Linked DNA regions of Macaca mulatta. The protein of the gene in region 4 interacts with the protein of the main gene of each other region in a biochemical or structural test. Links are inferred from orthologs where the notes say so. Each region holds a gene or a part of one and is shown on either strand. Other genes may lie near its edges. The genes, in order: BAG2, ARFGAP1, LGALS8, LRRK2, NDUFAF7, CUEDC1 and CDC42EP3.

Evidence for each region.
Region 1: the proteins of LRRK2 (region 4) and BAG2 form a complex in vitro, tested with the Homo sapiens proteins (2 studies listed by BioGRID and IntAct, with this or other methods). The link is inferred for Macaca mulatta from reciprocal best matches to the Homo sapiens genes LRRK2 and BAG2.
Region 2: of the proteins of LRRK2 (region 4) and ARFGAP1, one has a biochemical effect on the other in vitro, tested with the Homo sapiens proteins (3 studies listed by BioGRID and IntAct, with this or other methods). The link is inferred for Macaca mulatta from reciprocal best matches to the Homo sapiens genes LRRK2 and ARFGAP1.
Region 3: the proteins of LRRK2 (region 4) and LGALS8 form a complex in vitro, tested with the Homo sapiens proteins (2 studies listed by BioGRID and IntAct, with this or other methods). The link is inferred for Macaca mulatta from reciprocal best matches to the Homo sapiens genes LRRK2 and LGALS8.
Region 5: the proteins of LRRK2 (region 4) and NDUFAF7 form a complex in vitro, tested with the Homo sapiens proteins (2 studies listed by BioGRID and IntAct, with this or other methods). The link is inferred for Macaca mulatta from reciprocal best matches to the Homo sapiens genes LRRK2 and NDUFAF7.
Region 6: the proteins of LRRK2 (region 4) and CUEDC1 form a complex in vitro, tested with the Homo sapiens proteins (2 studies listed by BioGRID and IntAct, with this or other methods). The link is inferred for Macaca mulatta from reciprocal best matches to the Homo sapiens genes LRRK2 and CUEDC1.
Region 7: the proteins of LRRK2 (region 4) and CDC42EP3 interact on a protein array, tested with the Homo sapiens proteins (2 studies listed by BioGRID and IntAct, with this or other methods). The link is inferred for Macaca mulatta from reciprocal best matches to the Homo sapiens genes LRRK2 and CDC42EP3.

What each region holds. Positions count from the first base shown.
Region 1 is NC_133409.1:125,116,977-125,121,135, forward strand, and holds the start of BAG2 (BAG family molecular chaperone regulator 2), read right to left. Parts: upstream 2,805-4,159; 5' UTR 2,771-2,804; coding exon 2,658-2,770; intron 1-2,657. UniProt on the Homo sapiens protein: Co-chaperone for HSP70 and HSC70 chaperone proteins. Acts as a nucleotide-exchange factor (NEF) promoting the release of ADP from the HSP70 and HSC70 proteins thereby triggering client/substrate protein release.
Region 2 is NC_133415.1:116,130,635-116,134,689, reverse strand, and holds the start of ARFGAP1 (ADP-ribosylation factor GTPase-activating protein 1), read right to left. Parts: upstream 2,806-4,055; 5' UTR 2,708-2,805; exon of another isoform or gene 1,563-2,707; intron 1-1,562. UniProt on the Homo sapiens protein: GTPase-activating protein (GAP) for the ADP ribosylation factor 1 (ARF1). Involved in membrane trafficking and /or vesicle transport.
Region 3 is NC_133406.1:12,546,167-12,549,693, forward strand, and holds part of LGALS8 (galectin-8), read right to left. Parts: coding exon 3,475-3,527; intron 2,162-3,474; coding exon 1,951-2,161; intron 543-1,950; coding exon 423-542; intron 1-422.
Region 4 is NC_133416.1:47,100,411-47,104,529, reverse strand, and holds the start of LRRK2 (leucine-rich repeat serine/threonine-protein kinase 2), read right to left. Parts: upstream 2,820-4,119; 5' UTR 1,012-2,819; coding exon 861-1,011; intron 590-860; coding exon 504-589; intron 1-503. UniProt on the Homo sapiens protein: Serine/threonine-protein kinase which phosphorylates a broad range of proteins involved in multiple processes such as neuronal plasticity, innate immunity, autophagy, and vesicle trafficking.
Region 5 is NC_133418.1:87,707,622-87,711,943, forward strand, and holds the start of NDUFAF7 (protein arginine methyltransferase NDUFAF7, mitochondrial), read right to left. Parts: upstream 2,818-4,322; 5' UTR 2,774-2,817; coding exon 2,719-2,773; intron 2,375-2,718; coding exon 2,211-2,374; intron 1-2,210. Other genes in the region: CEBPZ (CCAAT/enhancer-binding protein zeta), read left to right, coding at 2,918-3,073. UniProt on the Homo sapiens protein: Arginine methyltransferase involved in the assembly or stability of mitochondrial NADH:ubiquinone oxidoreductase complex (complex I).
Region 6 is NC_133421.1:52,116,450-52,119,976, reverse strand, and holds part of CUEDC1 (CUE domain-containing protein 1), read right to left. Parts: intron 1,905-3,527; coding exon 1,778-1,904; intron 1,043-1,777; coding exon 850-1,042; intron 1-849.
Region 7 is NC_133418.1:87,264,457-87,268,443, reverse strand, and holds the start of CDC42EP3 (cdc42 effector protein 3), read right to left. Parts: upstream 2,809-3,987; 5' UTR 2,070-2,808; intron 1-2,069.

The DNA.
Region 1 (4,159 bases), on a different chromosome or scaffold from region 4:
TTGACCCACAATCAGACTAGAAACAAGGCAGGCGAAAGAAGGTCAGACAGAGATTCTTTTTCCTGAGGCCTAAAGCACCCCAACATTATAACGTAAGACTGTCATAAGGGTTATGGGAGTTATGAGCCAGGAACTGTGGATGAAAACATTATATATATATATATATATATATATATATATATATATATATAAAGTTGTAATATAGTATTTTTTATAAATTACAATAATTGTTAAAAAGTAACAATAAGCAAGATGGTTTGAGCCACTGAGGAATGCAAAACTCAGACTCCATTTAGAATTGATCATAAAAACAGGGAGAAAAGGGAATCACCTCTGTAGAAGGAAGAAATACAGAAGACAAAATGCAGTCTAAAAAAAGAGCCTAGTGTACTGATAAATTCCATCAGAGATAAATGGAAATCCTTTAACAGTTTGTAGAACTGCTGCCAAACATTTTAATCATGTAGATCAGTTCATACTCCAGGTCATGAAGTATGAAATTTCTTCCACAATTGACAGGATGATGTGGTTAGGGAACATTACGTGCACACTTCTAAGTACAAACGGTAAGGTTTTATTCTACCCAGTTACACTACTTTATTAGTTAACATAAAATCAAACTATTAGAGCAAAATTACATATGAGTTTCATGTTTTCATTTAAAAATCGATCTTGTACGCATGATTCTAGTTTTTAATAGTGTAGTGTTCTATGCCATTGCCCATGTGGTTTCAAAAAAACACTTTAATAGGATCAATGTTAGCATTTTTCTCTATTTTTGCTTACCTTAGGAAATCCTTTTCAGCTAGTATTACTTTTTTAAAAAGAAAAAAAAGGCCTACAAAAGTCTAGAATTACTAAAAAAAAGTCCTTGAAATGAACAGCCACATATTAATCACTTTTCTCCTCAGCTCAAATGTTAATTAAGCAAGTTGTAATTTAATCACTGATGTGCAGTAATCAGAATTCATTTTACATTAATCAAACATTAGAATATAATAATATTCAAAACCTGAGGCTTTCTTTTTAAGAGGAGCACTTCAGAGGGCTTTTGTACCTACCACATGTGAGGCATTAATTCAAGTTTGAGGACAATGACTCAGCTTGAAGGAAGGCGGGGTGGAGTAACATCCTCCCCATTCCTTTAGGAAAAAATCTTTTCTTTCTAACTAGGGGAGAGCGAGTGAAGTGGTTGAGAACATGCCCTCAACGTTCTGAAGACATGGAGAGAGGTGTGTTACTTGTTATGCGGCTCCCTAAAAAGAAACATCAGTTAGAGGGACTTCCAGTAACTGAGGCCACCAATTTCTACTTGCGCTTTACTTTTTCTGGGAGTGGAACGGGTCAGGTTTGCTAGTATTGTGAAAATCCATGAGGAAGCATTATTTCTCTCTTCCACTTGCCTCATTCTGAGTGGAACCCCAGAACCTCGTGTAGGGCTTAGGTTTCTCTGCTGCCATCCAAGAAATTATTTTGAGCGGAGAATCTCTCACTCTCTGGCTCTTTTCTCCCAATAGTAACAATAATAATGCCTTACTTGTTAAAAGAGATGCCGTGGTTTTGAAGTATTTTCTCGGCAAACGGACACTTCATATTTGGGTGTATTAATGGAGGGAGATAAAACACACATGCAGTGTTTCCTGAACTTTTTGGCTCACATGCTTCTTTGCTCATGCACAACCTAGAGAAAACTATGGAACCAACTCCTGTGTACAGTTTCAGGGAATTCCAGGTGCCTAACAAGGTTTTCTTTTAACTACAGTTGCTCACAAAATTTACACAGTAACTTGTGACAAACGTTCACAGGAAGTAGATAAAACTTTTCAATATACCGTTAAAGTCTTTCCAAAAATCTATTAACATTATATTGTTTAGAAATTCTGTACAAGTCTACTACTATATTACCTAATAAAATCTTAAGCAAGAAAAAGGGAAAACTATCTTTTCATACTTTCAGGCCAGTGACTAACACTTCGTCTTCTATGTAGGGAGGTGCCCAATAAATACTGAGAGACAAACGGAACCGCGGAATCCCGTCCGCCAGGTCAGGGGATAAAGAGAAGCCGCAACGTCTTTACTGCACGAAGCACCCGGTAACTTACTGCCTACCCCTCACTCCTCTCTAATCTTTGGTCTCAATGGATTGCTGGGTTGGTTTTGTTTTATTCATTTTTGCTCTTTTAGTGTTCTGAAGCAAGGAAACTTAACTTCACGTGGAGGGCCACTGTAAACTGCTGCCTCCCTTAAAAATGTATGACGGGAGAAGAGTAAGTTAAAAACATTTGGGGCCACACAGAAGGTTCTAGAAGCTCTGCAGACCCACGCTGCCACAGTCGTTAATCGCATGGAATCTCACCTCTTAACTTTTATCTCCTCTTTTTCCTGCTCCCCAACACCTAGGTAAGTTAATCAAAGTGTGGCCACCATCACGCCCTCACAGGTTTAGCTTACAATGCGTTTTCTCTTGGACAAGGGGAGAAAATCCAAGAAATAAACAAAACTACACCACGTCCATCCACAACAAATCTCAACAAGCAACTTCTGTTGCCGCAGCCTCACTGTGCCCCAGGGCCCGGCCCGCCACACGCGGCCTCCGTCCGCTAACCGCCCGCGCGGCGAGCAGAACGCCCGAGACCGCCCGCCCGCCCGCGGCTCACCTGAGCTCCAGCTGGTCCAGGCTCTCCAGCAGGCGGCTGGAGCGGTCGGCCATGGAGGAGGAGCGGCAGAAGCGCCCCTCGTTGGCTTTAGCGTTGATCTTCGCCTGAGCCATCTAAGCCTCCGACGCGGGGCAGCCGAGAGGTCACCGGCCCCTCCGGCGGCGGCGAGTGGAGCGCTCCTCGGGCTGCAGGCGTCGCCGTCACCACGCGGGCGCCCGCCCTCCCTCTGACGCCCGCGGGGGCAACCCGGGAGGACTCGCCGACACCGCGGCTGCCGCGTGGCCAAAGAAGGGCAGGCGCGGCGCCCGCGGGGCTCGGGGACGCCGGGCCTGGGAGGGGGCTGCAGCGGCTGGAATTAAGAGGTTCGCGGGCCACAGGGGCTCGGGCCTGGGGAGCGCAAGTCTCTGAGGCACGGGGAGGGGCAGACGCAGAGACTGAGCGCCTAATGTGGCCAGCGGATCGTCTGCTCCTCGGACCCAGGAACTACCCGAAGCCCGCCCGGACCCACAGACCACCCCCAGCTCCGCCCCGCGTGGCCCCGCCTCTTCGTGCAGCCTAAAAGTAACCAACTTCCCCCACACGAAGGTTCCTATCGGTCGATGGGTTGTGGGTGTATTGCTCAGTGATGGCTTCGTTTAGTTTCTTCCAGCACCCATAATTCAAAGCAAGAACAACGACATTAAGGGTCCTGTGATATAGGGAGAAAAGGTCCTTTTGTGAAACAGAAGGCAGTTAAGTGCAGCTCCTAGGCAGCCCACACTCACCTGACCTTCCTGTTACCACTTTATACTAAGATGAGAGTAACGAATGCTCGGACAACGCTGAAGCTATTAAGTAAAAAAGAAAAAGCTACTCCATCTTTCCCTATCTAGGTAGATGTAGGAAACAAAGTGAATTTACTTCATTTTTATCATTCTAAGGATTACAGGTGTGAACCACCACGCCCGACTTAATGAAGGAGTTTTTAATTTTTGCTATTAAAATTATTCCTGTTGAGTGAGCCGAGATCTCGCCACTGCACTCCAGCCTGGGCAACAGAACGAGACCTTGTCTAAATAAATAAATAAATAAATAAATAAATAAATAAATATTCTGAGTGAAATAATTGGCATTAAGAAGTCCTCAACTTTTAATTTTTTTTTTTTTTTTTTTTTTTTTTTTTTTTTTTTTTTTTTTTGAGACCGAGTCTCGCTCTGTGGCCCAGGCTGGAGTGCAGTGGCCGGATCTCAGCTCACTGCAAGCTCCGCCTCCCGGGTTCACGCCATTCTCCTGCCTCAGCCTCACAAGTAGCTGGGACTACAGGCACCCGCCACCACGCCCGGCTAGTTTTTTGTATTTTTTAGTAGAGACGGGGTTTCACCGTGTTAGCCAGGATGGTCTCGATCTCCTGACCTCGTGATCCACCCGTCTCGGCCTCCCAAAGTACTGGGATTACAGGCTTGAGCCACCGCGCCAGGCCAACTTTTAATGTTAACAAAAAGATGCAGTAGGCCTCTAGGTCA
Region 2 (4,055 bases), on a different chromosome or scaffold from region 4:
AGAAGACAGTCCAGCCTGGAGGCAGCAGACCTGGATCCCCACCAGCCCACGCCTCAGTGCACTGTTTTTCTGAGGCTCACCCACCTCTCAATACGAATGCAGCCGTGTGCTGTTCCCTCTACCTCTCACTACACGGAGAACACGCAGAACTCTGTAAGCCATGGGACCTTCCCAGCACCAGCCCTCCCCTCCTTCACTGTGTTTAGGAGGAGACCGTGTCGACCAGCTTTCCCACTAACGTTGTAGGTGGAACTTTACGTTGAGGTGAAGCTTTAAAAAAATTAAAAATTAAAAAAAAAAACCCTCTGTCCTATATTTCATTTCTAATCTTAAGTATCCAGAAACAAGGTATTCACTGGGGGAGTCCCAACTCCACACAGCCAAAGTTTCTGAATTCTGAAGCCCATGACTCCTAATATTGACCAGTGCCCACTTTAAACCCATTCAAAGTCAGGAAATAAACACCTGTTTTCTGCAGTTCATAAAAACAAAACCAAAGTTCACCCTGGGCTCCCTTCTGCTCCATAATTCTCTGTGCCTTGTGTGAGAGTGTCCGGGAACCACAGATCATGAGGCAGTGAATGCTCACTCCTGATCGCAAGACTCGGACCCCAGCATGACTCATTCAGGCGGATACCGTCATCAAACTGAGCATCCACCAGTACAGCCGACTGAGGACGGAAGAGGGAGAACCTGTGTGGAGAGATGCCCTGGCAGGCGGGGAGCGAGGCTGAGCTTACAGGGTCCTCGGGACACATTCTTGTACAGCAGCCGCCGACGGCCCTGGCAGAACTACTGCACACGCAGAAGCCACGGCCCACGGAGAGGCGGTGAGCCGCCAAAGCAGGACGAGACCAATCCAGGTCTCCACACTCAGTCCTGCACTCTTTCCACAGCACCATGCCTGCCCTCAGGAGCTTATGTCTTGGTCAACAGACACAAGCAAACAAAAGTCAGAACCATGAGGAGATGGCTTGAATTTCTAACTGTAAAACATACAGGATACTCGCAGAACCACCGGAGGAAGAAAACGTGCAAAAAGGAAAGGACTCAGCTTGGATTTAAAAGGAACTCCTCTAGGTGACTCATTGTGGATATTCAAGAGCCCTAGTTCCCTGAAATGTTAAAGTTAATAACACGAAAGCAAATACCTCCTAACCTTCAAAGCACAAATATAGTTTATCTTGAAAAATAATCCTGGCCAGGCGCGGTGGCTCAAGCCTGTAATCCCAGCACTTTGGGAGGCCGAGACGGGCGGATCACGAGGTCGGGAGATCGAGACCATCCTGGCTAACATGGTGAAACCCCGTCTCTACTAAAAAATACAAAAAAAAAACTAGCCGGGCGAGGTGGCGGGCGCCTGTAGTCCCAGCTACTGGGGAGGCTGAGGCAGGAGAATGGCGTAAACCCGGGAGGCGGAGCTTGCAGTGAGCTGAGATCCGGCCACTGCACTCCAGCCTGGGCGGCAGAGCGAGACTCCGTCTCCAAAAAAAAAAAAAAAAAAAAAAAAAGAAAAATAATCCAAAACTCTTAACACTTGAAACCAAGATGCAAAAATATACCTCCTTCTGCAAGTGGATGTGACTTCAGCAAACGTCAAACCCAGTGAGGACACTCTGTGTTAGTTCGGTAAGCTCCGGAGACTTCAAAACTCAGGATCCATAAGTTGGAACATTCTCAGTATGTGAGATCAAAAGGGATATTTAAGAACACTGTTTAGACCCTAGGGCTGTAACACAGCGACCGGCAGAAATACTAGCAGTCGTTCCCAGAAACTGTCTGAAGCGCCTCAACTACCCATGTCTAAGAAGAAGAGCCCTTTCGCTAAAGCACGGATTACTTCTGAACTTTGACAAGGACATGGTCCCAGAAAGGGACGCCAAAACAAAGCTAAGGGCTTCAATTCCCTGGGCCACTTTACAGCCGAACTTTGGTGCTATAATCAGCAGAGCATGGCAGGAATATTAGACCTGCAAAAAATGAGCAGAATTACTTCTCAGAATTGGTGGGCTGTAATTAAAACTGTTTAAAAGAACAGGCAAGAAGCACAGTTCTTCTAAACACACATAAACTGAGAAGTTTTAAAAGCCCCTTCCTGGTTTCTTTTTCTCCCTCAAGACAGTCATCCACGTCAAAGGGTAAGGAGGAAAACCAAGCGAGCTGAGGCTGCCATTTCTGATGAGACTGGGCTCACCAACACCTGCTGGGCAGGACCCTCACTTCTTAGCAGGGGGAAGCTCCACCGGGCTTCAGAGGCCACCTGACTGGGATGTGTCCAGGCCGAGTCCTGTGTCCGAAGGAGCTCGGGAAGAGGGTGTTGAAGGAGACGGGGCAGGGTCCTGCTCGCGCCCCGGGAGGCGACGTGGGTGGGCAGGACCCTCCGGACTCCCGTAACCGGTGGGAAATTCCAGATCCGGGGTGCGGGTGGAGAGCAGCTTCGGAGGGAAGGGGCACGAGGGGCGGGGGGCGGCACGGCGGAGGGGCGGCTGCAGCAGGGCGTCCGCGCGAGAAGGGCCCCGCCGTCCAGCGCCGAGGGGACTGGGGGAGGTCGGGGTGGGCGCCCCCAAGCTCTGGGGCATCAGCCTCGGGGTGGAGCGGGGTCCGGGCGGGGGAGGCTGCGGCGGGGAGTCCGCCCGCGAAGGCCGGGGACGACGCCGCGGCAGCCGAGGCCTCAGGCCGAGCCCGGGCCGCCGAGCCGCGCGCTTACCTGTCGGCAGAGGCGGGCAGGGCCGCCGGGGTCAGGCCAGGGCCGGGTTCGGACCGCCGCACTGCAACGGGGATGCGCCCGGTCGCCCACCAGCCGCCACCAGCTTCCGGCTACGTTGCGCTTTGCAAGGTCTCATGGGAGCCGGCAGGGGCGGGACTTCCGCCTCAGGCCCCAGCCCCCCAGGCGCGCACTCGCCCGGTCGCCATGGAGACGCGTAGCCGCAACGTCCAACTCCCACCCCAGGTCCCGGACCGCCCCTGATCGCGGTGGCCGCGGAGGACAGCAGCATTTGGGGGCCGGGCGGGAGAAGCGTCCGTGCATCCGTGGAACCAAACTGAGGTGCTTCTGGGACGGCGCGTTCACCGGGGGCCGACAACGGGGGCGGGGCGAGTGGGGGCCTGGGGGGGAGCTGCGGGGCTGGAACCGCCCGGCAAGGGGACGGGGGTAGGAGGACCGGGGGCCATGGAGGACGGGCAGAGGGGCGAGGTCTACGGGGCGGGGGCAGAGGGGCCAGGACAGCTGGGGACCGGCAGGGGGACTCGGGTAGGAGGACCGGGGCAGCGGGTGACAGGCAGGGAGGCGAGGGTCACGGGCAGTGGGCAGCGGGGGACCGGCGCGGGGATGGAGGGTTGCGTCCTGGGGCCCGTGCTCCCGCCCTGGGGTCTGAGTCTCTCTTCCACCACCCGAGCCTTTGGGCCCTGGTGGGAGGCGGCGGGGTTAAGAGGGTCCGCAGGCCCCCACCCCTGCCACGCAGATGCCCCAGGGTGCAGGTGTGCAATGGTCTGCACTAGGAAGGTACACAGCTGAAAAAGTGATCACCTGTGGGAGGTTAGTTGCACGTAATTTTTTGTTTTGTTTTTACTTTGTTTTTTTCTGTGCATTCTATGTGTTCCTCATTGATCTGGTTGACTTTCGAAATGATGGAGAATAAACATTTTTATTGAGGTATAAGCTACACACTGCAAAACGTGCAGTTCAATGAGTTTTGACAAATGCATACCCCCACGTAATGTCTACCATAGTCAATTATAGAACATTTCCATCAGAGGCAGCCACTCTTCTGATTCCAATATCGCCATATCTTAGTTTTGTCTCTTCTGGAATATCACACAAATAGAGCTGTGCAAAATATACCTTCGTGATGGCTTTCCTTTAACGTGATGTCTCAGAGATTCAGCCACATTGCACGTACCCGTAACTGGTTCCTTTTTATTGCCGAGCAGTGTGCCATGGGAAACACGCCACTTCCTTCATTTATTCACACTTTGGACACTGGGGTCGTGTCAGTTTTGGCTAGTATGAGTAAAGCTATCTTGAAAGGTCTTTGTGTAGGCATATTTTTTCTTCC
Region 3 (3,527 bases), on a different chromosome or scaffold from region 4:
AAAAGGTACAGTAAAAATACAGTATGACAAGCTTATGGGACCACTGTTGTATGTGCAGTTCATCATTGAACTGTCCTTATGCAACACATGACTGTGCTCTTTGACTCAGACACTCCCAGTCTAGGAAACTCTCTTATGGAAATAGTCCATTTTACACCCATGCAAAGGCAATAGCCACTACCCAGCTAAAAACAATGTGTGTTTTGCTAAAACCACACGAGATTTGAGATCCTACAGACAATGAAGCGCTGGCTGATAAAAACCCTTCTGCTAGTGTGAATAGTTCACTTCCAAAAAATTAATACTGCAATCAGGGAGAGCCGTCCTTTTTATGTCAATAGAAGTGTTATTTGAAGACTTTTTCTACCATCTCATCAAAAACCATCCTCATAAAAGACCCCAAGCTGTGGCAGGTCACTCACCGAGCTGAATCTAAAACCAATGGAGTGAATATTCACTTTGCCATAAATGCCCAGAGTGTCTATTTTCTCTGTGCCGATCCTGTGGCCATAGAGCAGAGTATGTTTTCCATTTACAGCCACCTAGGAAGATACAGAAGACAACCCCCCCCAAAAAAAGAAGTTAATAAATTAACTTCTTATCCAAATGTTTCCTTGCATCCAATTTTATACCCTTTCCCACAGGTCTCCACACACATCTGACCACACTGTAACCAAAAGCACCCAAAACACTAGCAGTGCTTCTGAACTTCGAGTTCCTGATCTGATTAAGCACCAGGAACTGTCTCTCCCCAGACAAACACGCAGTCACAAATCCAGGTGCGTGTGCCTCTGTGAGCCTCTGCACACATGTGAGACATCTGGGTTCGAAGGTCTCCTGGAAGCCCAGGCACAGGTGCCCTGGAGGTCGTGCACCCAGGTTAAAGATCAAAATCTGTTGACTTTGCTAAATAAAACTAATATGGACAAGTTACTCAACATATTTTTAAGATTCGGTTTTCATATTCTGAAGTAGGAACAATCTCTACCTCAACAGACTACAGTAGCAAGATGACGAGAAAGTAGCTTCCGCAGGTCCTCAGCACTCTACGTTGCTCCTCCTCCCTCCCTCTCAAATGCCAGGTACCAGGTTAGGTTATAGGCAGAAAACGCAAGCAGCATACAATACAGTCTCTGACTCAAGGAGCTTCAAATCCCATTGTGGGGGCAAAATAAACACATCAAGCCAAAGCACAACTGTTAAAAAATGGTTAAAAAGAATGATACAGACACGGCTGGAAAGGCCAGAGAAGGGAGAGGTGAATGGAGTTTGGGAGATTCAGAAAGATTTTTGGGCGGGAGCGGTATCCTAAAGATCAGAAAGGATCTGTGCCAAAGACATGTGGGTCTGTTCTCACACTGGTACAAACCTCTACCCTGGGAAAGCTCCACAGGCCGGAGTGCCAGCCGGTGTAAGAGCCTCTAGGACCAAATTCAACCGTACACATACACGCTAGGTATAAGACACTCCATGAAGCCAGAGATGGAAGTGACATCAAGGATTTCTAGGATCTCCTCTGGATCTAAACTCTCGATCCTACAGAACTATCTTGTGGCAAGACTTGAATTTATAAAACCCTTCTGATTTCTATGCTAGGATTGCCCTTGTTAGCTCTTCGGATGGTGGCGGTTATATTATAACTTACCCTCCCATCATTAACATAATACTGTGTCAATTCAGAACTCAGCCCTGCTAGGAGAAACAGGATCTAATAAAAAGATCTGGTCACAATGGACCATATTTCTGCACGGCAACAACTGGCTGGAGAGTAGTGGTGCCACACCTCACATTTAGGTGCCTTCCTGGTCCTTTTATGGAGAAAAACTACAAAGCCAAACAAACCATGTCTCAGGTGTAGGAAATAGAAGGCCGGGCTCACAAACGTGAAAAGCGCCCCTGTGCAGTCCCGCTCGCTCATGAGGACTCAACCTGGTCCTCTCCAAAACCTACCTGGAATTTGTCCTTCAGCACCATAATCACGATCTCAAAAGACTTCTCTCTTTTGAAAGGCGTGTCATAGGTGATCTCTTCCCGTCCCCATTTTTCTTTTATCAAAGTATTGCAAACAATGCAGCCGGCCCTTTTGAAACGAGGATTGAAATGAAAGGCCACGTCGGCGCGAGGTTTCACGCTGCTGCCATACTGCAGATCCACCTGGAATCTATGAGGGAAGACACAGGGGCCCCAAGAGTGCTCAGAAAGGAAAGCTCCCGTGAACGGCCCAGCAGGCACTACACTCCAGGCCCAGTGACCGGACTGACGGATCCCTCCTCGTTCATTCACTATGAGGCCGAAAGAGCTGGCTGCCTAATCTTCTTCTCTGTCTTCCTCAGTAACACAGCCCCCGAGTTTGAAATGGGTCTGAATCTGCCCAGAATAAAAACCTACCTTTCCCAGCCTTCCTTGCAGCTAGGCCTGCCTGTGCAGCTAAAGCTCTGCTGATAAGATGGAAGTGAAGGGCTCAGGGAAGACTACTGGAAACTGCCTTCAAAGTCAGCAAGCACTTGCCTTTTGTTCATCTCTGCTTCCCCGCAAACACCATGTGCACCCATCCAGCTACCCAAAGCACAGAGGTGAGGGCTGGAAATCTAGCTGCCAAGGATAACGGGAAAAGGGACCTCACCTCACCCTCAAGATAGCAGAGTGGTGAGCTGGAAGGAGTCTCCTTCTCTAACGACTTGAAGGAGTTGACTGAAAGGCCTGGGCTGTCTCCTTGAGACTTAATTTTCACATCTCACTTAAACCACTGCTCTTCAGGTGTTAGGTACACAGAGCCAAGCCCAACACTAACGATACCACAGCTTGCATCCAAAGCAAGTATTCAGTAAAACCATCTGAACTGGATCTTCTGTGATGCTGTGGGAATGTCAGACTACAACTAGACTATCCCTGTCATCTGACCACAATTCCTTTCTTTAATGACATACCTAATTCTTTTTTTCTTTTTCTTTTTCTTTTTTTTTTTGTCACCCAGTCTGGAGTGCAGTGGCTTGATCACAGCTCACTGCAACCTCAAACTCCTGGGATCAAGTGATCCTCCTACCTCAGCCCCCTGAGTAGCTGGAACTACAGGCGCACACCACTATGCCCAGTTAATTTTTAAAAAAAAATTTTTTTTTTTAACAGATGGGAGGGTCTCACTATGTTGCCCAGGCTGGTCTCAAACTCCTGGCCTCTAACAGTCCTCCCGCCTTGGCCTCCCAAAGTGCTGGAAAAGCATGTGTAAGTCACCACATCCAGCTGATAGTTCTAATTTTTTATACTGAAATCAGACTTACAGCAATGAAATAAATCCCAATAACCTTTATTTAGTCATTCATTCCACGCTCCTCAGCACCTTGGCCAGGGATGCTGACGAAAGCAAATTAGGCCTCAAAGTATCAAATGGTCTCTCCCACATTACTCTTTGTTATCGTTCCACAATCACAAAAACACAGCTTATTCATGCTCCTTCCTTCAGCACAATGATTTTACCTGTCTGCATCACTAGGAACATGCCCACGTATTACAATCAAAGTTCCAGGATC
Region 4 (4,119 bases):
CAAGGTATACTAAAACTAAAGGCTAGAAATCTGTCTTTGAATTTTAAGAAATGCTGAACTCTACAAGAGTTTGCCAGTGACAAAGTGGCATTTTATCACTATTAGTTATTCCCCTTTTCCAAACTACTCATAATCCTCTCATCTAGGACATGTTCTACATTGGGAAGATTCCTGGAATAGTCAGGTCTAAACAGTAATTAATTCATCTTGCCAATAACGGGACTAAACCCGAACCCATTTTTATCCCCCTTCTACCACCACCCATACTGTTGGTTTTATAAAGTTACTACTTAAAGACACTCAGGGAACACATACTGGGGCCCTTCATCCCTTTTTACATGATCAAAATATTTAACAATGTCCCCATCTGAAAATCACAGTCGGAGGTTCCTCAAGCCAAATTTCCAGAATAACCAAGAACTCCCGGCTATATAACACTGCCAGTAAAACGTCTCCTTCCAAACAGAAGGGCGAATGAGTTGAAGTGAAAACAATGCCTTTACCTGCTGCACACTCGCGACTCTCATATACGAGTCCAAGACGATCAACAGAGGCACATGGATATTTTTGCCTTGAAATAACTTGGAGGCTGGAAAACAAGTGGGTGGGGAAAAGAAGCAAAGTCACAATCCACAGCACCCCCTTTCCTTTTAAGTCTGAAAAGGGGAGAAAAGTCAAAAAGGTGAAGACCTTCCTGGAATTCTCAGCTCCTTTCCGCCCTAAGGAAAGGAGATGGGAGTTTACGGCTCTTTAAGAGTCCGGGTTTGAGCAGCGTCAGCGGAGGAGGACAAAGTTTGCAAATGTGAGGAGGGGGCGAAAGTTTGCAAAAACAAAAGCACAGTTTCTTCGCAAGTGATTACCGTGCTCGGAGTACGTGAACACCAGCAGATCCTCCAGGATTTGGACCAGCGTTTCTATCTGTTTACCTTCCTGGACATTGTTCAGCCTGACTATCAACTTCTTCAGAGTTTCCTCGTCCTCCTCGCACCCCTGACAGCTGCCACTAGCCATGGTGGCCCCTGCTTCCAACCCGCCGCCCTCCCAGCACGAACGTCCGCTGCTCAGGGAACCGGCAGGGGCGCCGGCCACAGCTCCCCGGGATCTAGCTCAGCTCACCGCCCTCAGCCAGGGCTCCCCGGGGGCCCCGTCGGCGCCCACGCCCGCCTGTTTATGAGGAAGGCGGTGGCTCCCCGCCCCGCGTTGCCCTCCCTCTCCAGAGCCCTCCTGCTCGGCTTCCTCCTCCCCCAGCCAGGCCCCAAAAAACCAGCTCAGGGGCCTGCCAGAGGCTCCGCCGGGGCGACGGGCCGCGCAGAACTTCGGCGGCGGCCGTGGGGCTGCTGGAGCCGGGCCTGGCCGGGATGACCGTGCCCGTGGCCCCCACGCACGCCTAGACTGGACCCGGGCGGACGCCGCCTCCTGGGACCAGATTCCACCACAGCGGCGGCGCGGCGGGGAGTCGCGCAGGAAGAAACTGACTCAGCGGACTCCGCCGAGTCCCAAGGCCCGGAGCCCCGCAGCGGAGGCGCGCAGTGCGCAGCCCGGCCGGCCACCCTCCTCGACCCGCCAGCCGGGGATCCTGCGGCCCCAGGGAAGGTCTGGGAACTGGCAGCAGGAAAAATGAAAGCCGCCTATCTCCAGATCTAAGAATAGAAATCAGGGCGCTGGGAAAAAGAGGACACCGCCCAGATGGCCCCTTTAGGAAAACATTCTCTTTATAGAGTTCTCCCCTTAAAGGATGGAGAGAGAGGTTAGCCATCAAAACTTGCCCCGCTACTGTCTTTTTTATTATTGTTGTGACTGTTAGTGGGAGAGGAAATAAACATTGTTTCCCTGTGAGTTATCTGAAGCTCTGGTCACCAAAAGGCCACTAAATTAACTTTTGGAATTGAGTTGCACTAGGCAGGATCCTGATACGTGGGACACCGGAAAAGTAATCAGCTCTCAGAGCTATTAGAACTGAGACAAAGGACAGGGTACATGAAATGAAAGGTGAAAAGGTGAGAGAAGCAAACCGAAATACTCTTCTCTTGGCATTCAGAATTACTTATGAGTATGGGTGTCTATAACCCCAAAGTTTTTTGGTTTCGTTTTTTGATTGTTTGTTCTGTTAAGTACCTAAGTAATGTGTTTTTAGGAAGAGAAACCTAGCAAGAACATTGTAAACAAGGCTAGGCAAAGATGATCTATCCTTCAGTTGATGTGTCTGTCCTCAAGGTTATTTAAAAAGAAGAGGATTGGACTGGAAGTTACTACTTCACAATTTTAGATTTGTTTTCACATCTGTTACTTCAATCCTGATGACAAGTCTGAAATGGATAAAACTACTACTATGTATCCTTCTTTCACTAATGAGGAAATTGAGATTTGGAGTAGAGAAGTGAAGAGCTTTGCTGGAGTCACACAGGTGGGAAGTTGAGAGCCAGGACTTCAACTCAGGCAAATCTCCTAACACCCGGTAGATGGTTCTTCATGCTCTACCACTTTAATAAAAATGCTCTAGACTTTGTTTTTTCATCAGATTAGTAAGATAGCAAATTCCTACTTAACCTGGATATTAGGTCTATGTCTTGTTGTTGTAGAGTCTTCAGTTTTTACAGAGACATGCTGAAATATTTACAGTTGAAATGGTAGCAGGGTTAGGATGTGTTTCAAAGTCATCCAGTGGTGGAGGAAAAGATGAAATGTGTGGAGGCAGAGATAACAATAACAATTTTTGAACTGGTAATTGTTGAAGATAATAAGAGATGGGTTCATGTGGTCTGTTCTACTATTCTGTCTGTATAACATTTTCCATAATTTAAAAAAAAAAATCCTAATCTTAACAATATTTATCAGACCTACAGTGTATTCTTTTCTAAGTTGTTTCTAAACTTGTTTCCATTTCTGATGACTTAATCAATGTCTCAAATATTTCTAGGCATTCTCGATCTCATGCATTCCTTCTGTTCCTCTGCATTAGTTTCTCCCTTCCTATTCTACTGAATTACAACCTTGCAAGAAATTAAAACCTACCTCCCTTCCAAAGCAAAATAAATCTAAATTAAAAGATGTCTCCGGCCGGGCGCGGTGACTCAAGCCTGTAATCCCAGCACTTTGGGAGGCCGAGACGGGCGGATCACCAGGTCAGGAGATCCAGACCATCCTGGCTAACACGGTGAAACCCCGTCTCTACTAAAAAATACAAAAAACTAGCCGGGCGCGGTGGCGGGCGCCTGTAGTCCTAACTACTCGGGAGGCTGAGGCAGGAGAATGGCGTGAACCCGGGAGGCGGAGCTTGCAGTGAGCTGAGATCCGGCCACTGCACTCCAGCCTGGGCGGCAGAGCGAGACTCCGTCTCAAAAAAAAAAAAAAAAAAAAAAAGATGTCTCCAATTTCCACAATTCATTCATCCATCTATTGCCTATTTATTATCTACTCTATATTGGCCAGACTGTGAGTAGGCAGTATGAAAATATGAATTATCTGTTGGGAGCATTCTCCCATGAACTACTGCAGTGTTAAGGTAAAGTATTCTCTTAGGTTTCAAAAATGTTTAATTGACTGACTAAAATTCCAAGATTTATCAACTCTTCAGGTAGTTAACAAGACTGAAAATGAAGATTACAGGCACAAATTTATGATGGAAGCAGTGCTCAGTGGAGAATAAAATGGTGCTAGAACATTTGGCTAACTTCCTGAAAAGAAAAAAATAATACTGGCATTTCTAATTACAGCAAACATCAAAACAAACTCCAGATAGATTAAAAAGTTAAATAAAAATAACTTCAAAAATAAAATATAAATTAATAGTTATATAATCTTGAATAAGAAAACATAAAAACAAGAAAGAAATCACATAAGGTTGGTGTATGTGACTCCATCAAATTTAAATTCTCTGCAGTCAAAGAAAAAATACCCATTAATGAAACTAGAAGTCAAATGGCAAACTGGAAGAAAAAAGTTGTAATACATATGATGAAACACAATTTGCCTTTAACTTTCAAAAGTTCTTACAAATCACTGGGAGGAGGGCATTATGCCACAGATAGACCAGGAAAAAAATAGTAATAAACTAAGGTTTTGAAAAGGAAATTCACTTTGAATGACCACTGAGTATTTTTTAATGTCATCATTAAAAAA
Region 5 (4,322 bases), on a different chromosome or scaffold from region 4:
CCACAAAGAAATATCTGAAAAATGTGTATCAAATGTTTTTAAAAATGTGATATATACACTTCTTTACTAGCGTATTTAAAAAAACATAATCAGGCCGGGCACAGTGGCTCACACCTGTAATTCCAGCATTTTGGGAGGCCGAGACAGGCGGATCACATGAGGCCAGGAGTTCAAGACCAGCCTGGCCGACAAGGCAAAACCCCATCTCCACTGAAAATACAAAAAACCTAGCTGGGCATGGAAGCATACACCTGTAATCCCAGCTACTCGGGAGGCTGAGGCACAAGAATCCTTTGAAACTGGTAGGCAGAGGCTGCAGTGAGCCGAGATCGCACTACTGCACTCCAGCCTGGGTGACAGAATGAGACTCTATCTCAAAAAGCAAACAAACAAAAAAGCCCATAATCAAGCGAAAGACCCAATAATTAACAAAATTTTGAAGTAAGGATGAGCATGATGAAATTCTGAGATGCCTGTGATCACTGTATTGTGATAAGGAAATACCAATGATTTCCACAGACGACAAATTCACAAGTATTGCTGATGCTACTGGTTGCTGCGTATGTTCATAATTGAAGAAATGCTAAATTTCAGTTGAAAGTTAGTGAAAATAAAGGTGTAATTTTTTTCCATCCAGGTTCATGAAACCCCTGATTTCTATTAAAGGGTTCCTAGGTTAAGAGCCTCTAAATTTTAGAGTTACCCCAAGTCTCAATGCTGGGAAACCTTCCTTTCTCTCAGTACATTCTCCTTGGTTCCTTGGCTTTCAATATCACCTACATGCTGATGATGAGCAAATGTATATATGCCTGCCCAGTCTTTCTTCTGAACTCCAGGCTCTTTTTTTGTTTTCTTCTTTTTTTGAGACAGAGTCTCACTCTGTTGCCCAGGCTGGAGTGCAATGGCGTGATGTCGGCTCACGGCAACCTCTGCTCCTGGGTTCAAGTGATTCCCCTGCCTCCTGACTAGCGGGGATTACAGGCACCCGCCACCACACCCAATAATTTTTGTATTTTTAGTAGAGAGGGGGTTTCACCATGTTGGTCAGGCTGGTCTCAAACTCCTGACCTCGTGATCCACCCGCCTTGGCCTCCCAAAGTGCTGGGATTACAGGCGTGAGCCACCATGTCCGGCCCTGAACGCCAGACTCTTACAGCCAATTGCCTACTTTCTATCTCCACCTGGATGTCATTGCTAACAAAATATGTATAAAATGCAGCTCCTGGTGTAGGCCCTCTCCCCAGCACTCCTCCAAACCCGGTCCTGTCTGTCTTAATCTCAATAAAAGGTGCCGTCACCACCTAACTGCTCAAGCCAAAACTACGAATCAGCCTTGATTCCTCCGTTGCATCACTCAATCCATCGGCAAATCCTGTCAGTCCTTTTCTAAACCACCCTCTTCTATTTCTAGTACCACCACACTAGTCTAAGCCACCTATCTTGCAGCCTTGCCCACCAGCATTGAAAGAAAGATACCGGCCTTGGGTAAACCTCGACACTGGAGTCACGCCACCATATCCAACAGCAATGGCCAAATCAACCCCAGAATTCCACAGAGGTCATATTTCAACCCAGCAAAAGGTGAAATATTCTAAAATAAAGGACTACAGGCTTTCACCAAATGGCTCTATAGAACAGACAAGGAAACGTGGGTCAGAAAGCTGTGACTGTGCCTAATCTTAGAACAGTGCAGACCCAGACTGCATTCTCAACTGCACATGTGAGAAAACCCAGCACATCTCTCCAGTGCCAGCTGAGGCCACTCCAACAAGGCAACTTTTCAGGCAGTAATTCCTATTTCCAGATGCCTGTTGGAGATTTCCACCTTAGAGTCCTACAACACTTCAGATTCATATACCAGCCTGAACTCTCCATCCTTCCTCCTACATTCCTTCTCCCAGAGCAATAATCCACACCACCTACCATCAGCCAAGTAGGAAAGTCATCCTTCCCGCATCATAAATCCAATCAGCTACATTCTGTCTCCTAAACACCCTTGGACCGTGTCCTCTCCTGTTTATTGGCCCTGCCTCTGATGTGAGCCAGCCCTGCCCAACTGACAGATTATCTGTCCCCAGGTCCTCAGAAATGGCTCTTCCCCTGGCAGGCACCCCCACTGCCTGGGCTGAGGACCTTCGGGCTTCTCCCTCCTGGCTCGCACCTCGCAAATCGGCTAGAGAGGGCCTAGTCCTCGGGCTACCCGACCATACCTTGGCTGGATTAGTCAACACCTCCTTCATGTACTCGGCCACAGTGATGGGACCAGTAGACTTTATTTTGTACATAAGATGCCGCAGCATCGGCGTCACCGGGTTGTTTTCTGCAGGTTCATTCCCGGAGCTGAAGTATTTCCCTCTCCAAATAGAAGGAATGGCTGTGAAAAACACAAATCAAACAAACCCCGTGATAAATCTTAACATTCACGAACGCAAGCCGCCTGAGCGTTTTCAAAGCAGCTTCGTAAACCCTTAACCTCACCCTACCGCAGACCTCGGGCTACTGTGCTTTGCACGCCCCCGGGGCGCAGAGACAGCACGCACTTGCCCACGACTACGCAGCCCTATCGCGTTTGCGCCGGACCCGTTTCCAGCCCAGGGCACCTTCAAGGTGGAAGTGAGCCCCTGAGCCCTTAATTCCCCGGTACCTCAACTGAAGAGCTGAGGAAGGCACCCCACGCGGTTTCCAAGGCAACAGGGCTTCGAGGGGACTGACGCTTACCTGCACGCGCCACGGCACACAGCGGCCCCACACCTGACCTCACCAGAACAGTCATGCTGAAATTCGCAGGCCGGCTCTCTCCGCCAGGAGCTGAGGCTTAGGCTATTTCCGGGAGAAGACGCCCCAACCCCCCGGCCGGAATTACGTCACGGGCAGAGCGGAAATAGGCTGAGTTCCAAGAGCGTATGCTCTGCTAGCCATGGCGGCAGCCAAGGAGCCTTTGGAGTTCCACGCCAAGCGGCCTTGGCGCCCCGAGGAGGCAGTAGAAGATCCGGACGAGGACGACGAGGATGATGCTAATGAAACCGAGAATGGGTTCTCCCTGGAGGAAGTGTTACGGCTCGGAGGCACCAAGGTAACTGCCGCGGGCTCCGGGGAAAGGGGTCAGACGTGGGCAGTCCCTAATGTCGCTAGGCTGACTGCCCCGCCGCTTCCGCGCTGCGTAGAGCGCGGGCGTCCAGGACCCAGATCCCAGATCCCAGCCTCGGAAGCATGTGTTCTGTGAGCTTCCCACGCTGGTTTCCAGGGCTGTTTACAAAAGAAAAGTTTCCAGTTGAACGTCGTATTCTCTGGCCTTTCTTAGGATGTAGGCGATCCTCTCATTTTATTAACGTGGTATAACCATCACACCATCAGGTCGGAGAGTAGCTTTTCTTGGTCCCGACCTTGTGGTATGAGTATTTTGAACACCAGTGGTATTGGAATTTTCATTTCTGTTCTCGTGGAGTACGTGCACGTGTCACTGTATGCCCCAGAAGCCCTCTTTTTTGGAACATCCTAATTAAGGGACAGAAACAGTAAACAAACTTTTAAATACATAGTACAGCAGACACGGGGTAGTGCGAAAGGACGATAAGGAGTGGGAGCGCGTTAGTATTAAATGAGATGATCGACAAACACATCACGGAGATGTTTGAGCAGAATCCTAAAGGAGAGGAAGGAGTGAGCCATGTGCCATTCTGGTTGGAACAGAAAATGCAAAGACAGGCAGAAGAGTGCCTGACCTATTCCATGAGCAGCCAAAATGCCAATGTAGCAGAGGCAGAGTGAGGTAAGGGGAGAATGGTAAGAAATGAGGTCCAAGGGGTAAGAGGGCAGGCTTTTGCTCTGAGTTTGATGCAAAACCACTGGAAGATTTTAAGCAGATAAGGGACAGAAATTAACTTTGTTTTTAATATTATTTTGTTTGGAGACTGGACTTTCAGGGTGGAGGAGTTGGTTAGAGATAAGTAGATTCACAGTTTTGCTCTGTGCTTGTGTATATTTAAGTTTTGAATAAGTAATATATACACATGATACACGTGATACAAACTTTAAAGATACGTAGTGAAAAGTCCAATTTTTTCCACTTTTATCTCAGCCGTAACAATTGCCCTGATAGGAAGCAATTATTTTTACAAGTGTAGTTTATATCTTTCAGGGATACTGTATACCTTTTCAAGCATATACATATTTATGGGTATGAAATACGCGTCTATTATTTTTTACATGAATAGTACCATATATATACACCTATCTATATTTTGCTCTCTTTTCTCTCTTAGAAATCCTTCTATATCAGTGCATGAAGTTCTGTGTTATTGATATGGCTGCATAAATCATTT
Region 6 (3,527 bases), on a different chromosome or scaffold from region 4:
GCTGAGGCAGGAGAAACACTTGAACCTGGGAGGCGGAGATTGCAGTGAGCCGAGATTGAGCCACTGCATTTCAACCTGGGCGACAAGAGGGAGACTCTGTCTCAAAAAAATAAATAAATAAATAATAAACGGAAAGGCCTTGAGCCTTCCAGCACCTTTGCTGCAGAGCTGGGGCTAACCTTGGGCCTCAGCCCAGCCTTCTCCCTGCACAACTTGCTCCTCCCCCACCAACACACCATCAGTTACACACACAAGCTCTCACGCTGTGGCCATCACAGGGACAGAGCTCCACCGCCCTCTCATTTCCTCTATCCCAAACGCACTCCCACCCTGCAGGGGAAAGGTAGCCAGGCTGGGGAGCAGGGTCTCCAACCCAGAGACAACCCAAATACCTGCAAAGTTCCAGAGCCCCTGCTCTAAGGTCTTCCACTCAAGAGCCTCCCCAACCCTGGCGTTCACGAACCCAGTCATTCTGTTCCCGGAGCTCCAGACACATCACGCCTGCCTTGGGGCTGGGGCTCTGTGAGGAGGGGCAGTGCTCTTCTCCCTGCTGCCTTGTGCCAAGGCCAGTTCCTGGCACAGAGCAGGTGTGCAAAGGGAAGAAGGCCTAAGAGTGCACACCCTTCTTCCTCTGAGTCCCGAGGGAGAAAGGGGTGGGTTAGTGACCCAGGTCCCCATAGGCAGAATTCTGAGGCTCCCATGGGATAACTTGGTGGGAGTCAAGGCTCAGTAGGACAGAAAGCACCTGGCCCCTCAGCCCCCAGCTCAGTGCTTTCCTGAGCCCCAAGGCTAAAGCCAGCATCACCTCCCTTCTTCAGCCAGGGAGAAGTGGCTGCAGGCACTGCCCACCTCTCTCCAGGGCAAGGAGGAAGTCGCGGTTTCGTTGCAGCTCCTTCATGAACTCCTCGTTCTGTAGGAAAAGCGCGATCCTCTCATCCTCCAGGTACTGCTTCCAGCGGCTCTCCTGGTCTCGGGGCCCTGGCCCAGTCATGGCAGGTGGACCTCCGTCTCCGCTCCCAGGCTTGGGGCCCCCAGCATTACCCTGAGGAGGGAGGCGAGCATGTTGAACGTGTACACACAAGGGTACATGTTGCACAAACATCCACATCCCTCTGGTTGCACACACGCCCTGTCCAAGATCCTCTAGCCCTCACCTGAGGCTCACACCTCCTAATGGAACCTAGTGGCAAGCCAAAATCCAACGGACAGGTCAGAGCCCTCATTGCAGGGGACACAGCAGTAGCCTAAAAACTATTTTTCCTCCACGCCACGGACCACCTCATACCTTCATCTACAACCTGAACAGTCCTGAAAAGAAATCTGCAAACTGTGGAACAGCCTATACGTGGATTCCCAAACTCAACCCTCTCCCGGCACCGGCAGCCTCAGGGTGGACCTGCCCCGCTGTGGGGCACCTTGGAGCATGCCAACATCTATCGAGAAGCTGCCTCTGGCCCTTTCCCGAGGGAGGAAGGGGGGTGCTCTGGCCCTCCACCATTGGCCACCCCATGCCCGCCTCTCTCCAGCCTGAGGTGACTGCTGCAGCAGACAGCCTCCTTAGGCTGCCACCTTCCCTGGATAGAACAGGAAACCTCCAGACCCAGGCAGGAAGTGAGGCTTTCAGTTCAGCATTCTTTCCCTACGAACCCAGGGCAACAGAAATAGCTCAGCCTGGGTTTAAACATCAGGAAGTAAAACTGGCTGGCACAAATTGTGTGGGCAAAGAGAGATGCTGGACAGGCAGGTGGGAGTGGAAGGCGGGGGCGGCCCCTGTTACCTGTATGCTGTCCAGCTGCTGGGGGAGGATGCGGAGAAAGTCATCCGGGAGGTTGCCCAGTAGTGGTGGGTTCCAGTTCCGATAGCGTCTCTGGCTTGTAGGGGCTGCAGAGCTCAGCACGTCGATACTAGGGGATGGGAGGTGACAGGGAAGAGGGAGTCATTAAGCCCAACCCCAGGTCTCCTGGCCCCATCACACCAGGTCCTCAGGCAGGTCAGATCCTGCTCAGAGATTCCCATGGCCTCCACTGCCCCCAGAACAAAGGCCCATCACTTTGTGTCATCACTGGAGATGTCTCCACCGGCCTCAGCGAACTCCCCAGCCATTCATGCTGTCCAGTCACATGCCCGCCCAGGTCTCTAGACCTTCAGCGCTGTCTGTCCATGGTGCACATGTGGAACTCTGTGGATTTAGCTATAGATGTTTACAAATGTGCCCTAAAGACAGCAGGGATTGTATCCTTTCATGCTTCTATGCTAGCACCTACACAGTGCCAGGCTCACGGTGCTGAGTGACAGGTATGGTCCAAAGGAACAGACACATAAGCCACCAACAGCACAGCCTGCTGCATGTTGGTTTGCTGAAGAGGGGGCATATGGGGACGCCAGGATCCGTACAGAGGGTAAAGCAGATCCAAGCTCCAGTTCTGGCTCAACCATCAGCCGGCGGGGTAGTCTTAGGTGGGCCCCTGTTCCCCTCTCGGGTTCGGTTTCCTTAGCTAGAAACTGCTGCCTCCCTGCCCAGGTACTGGGGAGCCCCTCAGGAGGCCATGTCCTGAGCAGTGTTCTGAAAAGTGTGTGGAGAGGTGAGTGTGGAAGGGATCTCCCTCTCAGGGTGCTCTGGGACCACTCTTTCCAGGCCTGGTGTGTGTGTGGCAGGAGCTCCGTGCCATGGCAGAGCCAACAGCTGGGCAAGGCAGTAGAGGAAGAGGGGGTGGCACACACACCCTCCCTGACCCCCAGGCTCCCGCCCTACCGCCCTGGGCCTGAGGGCAGCTCGGAGCCCAGCCAGGAGCTCCCCACAGCTCCATGGCAGCCTGCAGCGTGGCAACCGCAGGACACGTGTTCCGCTGAGTCAGGGAAACGGCACACTGAGAAGGCAGCCGAGGGCCGGGCGGTGGGGGCCGCTCTCGCTCTCTCGGGCCTGGCTTTGATTTGGTCTCCAGCTCCAGGAATCCCGCCCGCCCCCTCACTGGAGGGGAGCTTTTCCGGGCTGCAGCTGACTATGGAAATAACTTCCTTTCCTTTTCTATTTTGGGCGGGTGGCCGGCGGCGGGGGCGAGGGGAAGGGGCGGGGGCGGCAGCAGACGGGATAACCAGCTGCTAAGTGCCTGGTGGGAGCTCAGCTCTTGCAGACTGGAGCCAAGGGAACCCCAGCACGCCTCGTCCACCCTCTGGCTGCACAGACACAAGGGGAGAGGGAATGGTCTGGAGAGGAGCTTGCATCACAACCCGGGACTCCCATTCCTAGGCCAAATTTTTTCTACATCACTGCCACCTTCTGCCACTGTTGGAGGCTTCATTTTTCTCCAAAGGCCAGAGATGGGGAGTGAGGAAGCCCCATCTCTCAGGGACTCGCAGACCACCCCAGGCTACAGCAGGGAGGGACCCTCACCAGGGGTATTACCCGTTCTTGGGGTCTCAGGGTCTTCATCTGGGACACGGGTGCCCACCCCCAACTTAACCACACCTCGGAGCCACCCAGGAAAGCAGCGGAGGGAGAACCTCAGAAGGTGCATCTGGACTCCTCT
Region 7 (3,987 bases), on a different chromosome or scaffold from region 4:
AAACAAAACACCACATTAAAGGAAAGGCTGGAGGGCAGACAGGGCAAATGAACTCACGTGAGCCCTTCTGCAATCATTGTTACGGCTTTGTATTACTCATCTTGCACCACACTTAAATGTACAATAAAAAGCAAAAAGTGTGCAACACGCATTACTCTAGCTGCTTTTACTTGTTCCATAGAGATATGCGAAACAATTTCACTGCTCAGATTGAGGGAAAGAGGAGCTCATCTTATTTCAAGCCTGTAGCTGCTGCCACAGCCTCAGCACCACGTTCTAATCATAGACTTCATCATGTAAATCTCTAGCAGATGATACCACTGGAAAACAGAAACTGCCATGGATCCAGAAATGCTTCCAAATTTCTCCTCTAAAGTTCTTATCTGTGAACTCAGAGGCTGACGCTGTCTTATTCAATGGGTGAGGCCCACTGGGAAACCCACATTATTTGGGAGACTATGAAGAACTTTCCACCATTCCTTGACTATATAAAAGGCCTTTATCACGTATTTCATGATACATGAAAATGCTAAATATTTCACAACTACTCCAACTTATTTCTGAGGGTCTAAATCTATTCTGAAAAGGGTATGCATCACACACCTACCTGTGTAGCTTATTAACTACCAATAAGAACTCACACAAATTGCAGGGGGTATGAAATAATAGACTTCTGGGACTGTCCAGAAAAGAAGAGAAGGTACATTTTTCCCGGTTTTAAGATGAAAGCTCTTGTGTAAGTTAGAACATTACAGGAGTCGTTTAAATTCTCTTAGGTATACCTTTGGGGCATCATCCCTGGTTCCTGGCGAGTCTTTTTTCTCCCTGTGATGTTAAGAGGAAGTCCCTAAGACTGGCTTTGCTATTAAAATACAGACATCTGCTGCTCTCCTAATTTTTGTTCTTTTTAAATGGGAGTACTCCCCAGAAACTCTGGGATATTGTGGGAACTAAGATCTGGGAGATGGGAACGGAATCTTTGTCTCCCTAACACATTCATCAGTTCCCTCCCTAGAGCCCCCCATACCCTCAGCACACACCAGCAGCCCACTCCTCCAAAGACGCCAGGGCTGGAAAGATTCATGTTGCAATACCCTCCTGACATTCCTCATTTTAATTCGCTCACTTTTTTTTTTTTTTTTTTTAAACAAAATGTAATTACTTGACTGTCAGCCTGCGCTGCACTCTGGGGCTTTTACTCCTTTCAACACAGCTGCGCTCCCGGCTTTGATGCTGCTGTCCACGCAGCTTGTCCCAGCCACAGCCTGGCTCTCGGTAATGTAACATTCAAGTGCATATTTATTTTTAAACTGACCTCTCCTAGACTGCACAGTATAAAGGAGATCCTGCCAAAAAATATGCTACTTTCTATTTATAAGATGAAACACATGCCTCCCAAAGTCGGAGGGGGATAGAGTATAATAATTCATAACGAAAAAACGATTGGCCAGATCCACTCGTCCTCACGTCTGATACTTGTCTGTGTCAAGCCACTTGGTTTCAAGGAGAAAGGGAGGAAAACTACAATCAAAAAACCTTGTAAACGTTTCAGCTGTTCACCGTCAAAAAACAAAAAAGTCAATATCCAGATTTCCAGGTTGGCGCCCCACTAACAATGTCCTCCATTAAGAAAGAGGAGGGCACCGGGCAGGCGATGCCACGGCAGAGCTGTGCGATGCACCCATGTGCGGCCCTGGTACCAATTCACGACGCGAGGGGCGCGGTAGCCAAGTGCGGCTTGTTCTCAGATGGAAAAATGCTATACGCGCCCAGAATGGCTCTGTCAATAGCTCGGAGGGAGCAATGGGGCCGCGCTGCCCCACCCTGAAAAGCGGTGGGCACAAATGGTGGAGCTCTGAGTCCCGGTCATGCCGCCCGCCCCACTCCTGGCTTGCTTTATGTCCCCTTCGGTCCGTTGGACACTAGATGTGAAAGCGATGCCCTCGGTATCCCGGCTCCCTGCTGGTTTCCCAGCCTAACACCAGCGCACGCCGGAAGCGGCCACGGCGCGGGCGGGACAGACTCACAGACAGGTAGAGAGGAAGGAACCCTGGATTACCCAGACTCACCGGCCGCCGCTGAGAATCCCAGCCGCTGCCCCGGGCCTCCCGCGGGCGCACGCAGCCCCGGCCGGTGTGCGCAGATCCAGCCGAGTCTGCCGGCGCGGTGCCTGCTCACCGCATTATCCGCTCCGAGACAGCGTGAAGGCGCCCCAGGCCGGTGGCCGGGTCTCCGGGCTAACCCCGCACTGCGGACCCTCGGCCGCAAGAGAAGGTGCGCGCAACTGAGAGCTGGGCGGCAGGACGCGAGGACTGAACCTGCGGAGGGCGGGGCGGCGCGGGGCGGGGCCGGCGGCGCGGGGACGGACTGGGGCGGGGCGGAGGGCACGGGCCCCGGGGCCGACCCTCCCGGCCGCTGTACCTGTGCCCTGGCCCGGGGCCAACCGGCAGCCGGGCGCGCGCGCAGGGGGGTTCACCGTTGGACCCTCGGAGGACAACGGGCGCCCATTGTTACCTCTCCAGCGCTACCCCCCAGTAGGCGACTTCCCTCGGAGAAGACGCCGCTTTCGACTCCCTAAGCACAAAGAAAGGTCGTCGGACGCTCGTTTTAAAGAGGGACCCGGAGGTGCTGCCGCCCGGGTGCACGGGGACAATAGGACTCCGCCCGCACCCCGGACTCCCGCACTAAACCTCGTGCGCCCACCTCTCCCGATCCCAACAGGCCGACCTAGCCGTGCGAAGTTCCGGTGTGGCGGGCGGTGACCGGCAGGGAAGCGAGGCCACCTGAGCGCGCCTCCCCGTTCAGGCCGCAGCTCCCCAGGTCCCTCGCAGCCAGTGCTCTGGTGGGCGCGGAGGGGGAGGGTCGCGTTCTGTCAGTTTCCAGCTCGCTCCCCTTGGAGCTGCAGCCAAAACCCGGAGCGTGGACTTCGCGCCCTGGAGATGCCGGAGCTCCGGGCTGAGCAACTGGACAAGCGACGAACAGCAGACGCTACAGGTTCTCCTGTCCAGAGGGAGGCGTTTCCTCTCCCTCAGGGTCTTTCAAAAGGATTTGCCTAAAGCTGAAGCAAGCTGGTGGCGGCTGCCCCAGACGCGCGACGAGGCGCAAGTGGCGCAGCTGCCGGCCCGGGACCGTAAAATTCCTCCCGTGGTGGCACCTGCGCCCGCCGGTCAGCGGGCCACAGCCAGCGCCGCCGACTGGCGCACCCCTCCCCTCCGCCGGGGCACTAGCGTGAACCGGGTTAATGAATGCTAATTTTCTTAATCGGCCTCCGTCTTTTCCTCCTCCGCGAGTCATCGGCCTGGGGAAGGAGTAGGCGACAGGAAAGGGCGGTTTTTTCCGGCTGGGAGGTCCCAGCCCGCATGATTAGCCTGGGGAGGGGGCTGGGACCCCGGGGAGTCGGATGCTCGGGGCCTGGTCTCTGCCCTGAGACTCTCAGGTTGGATGGAAATCCCGGCACAACGCGGAGAACTTTCCGGGCACCTTGGCTTTGCCGAGAGGTCCCTAGCTTCAGTCATCACCGCGGTCCTCTAGGTCTGTCTGAAACCCTAGAGGGTGCACCTTAAGCCGATGTTGTAAACCCAGGCTGACTTTAAGGTGAAGTGAAAAGGAAACGGACACAATCTGGAAAGCAAAATACTTGGGTGGGGTGTTAAAAGCTTCAAAGAAAAATAATAGTTGGCAGGTCAAATGGCCATGAGGTTGGAAGTCAAATAAGAAACTCGGCTGAAGTGATGTTAGAAGTTTGACAAGCAAAACAGTCCATGAAGATAAGAGACCCAGCATTGTTTCCCTTCTTCAAAAGACAACTCGTCCAAAGTTTCCTTTGGCAGATACCTGGATTCTACTCCAGATTCCTGAGCATTTTACTTGGGTTTCATATTTCAAATTATATGTTCCATTTGGCACTAATGTATATATTTTATATATTAATTTATTGAAAAATATTAAATGTTGCTGGCCTACTTAGAAAAAGGTATTTTTATAAAT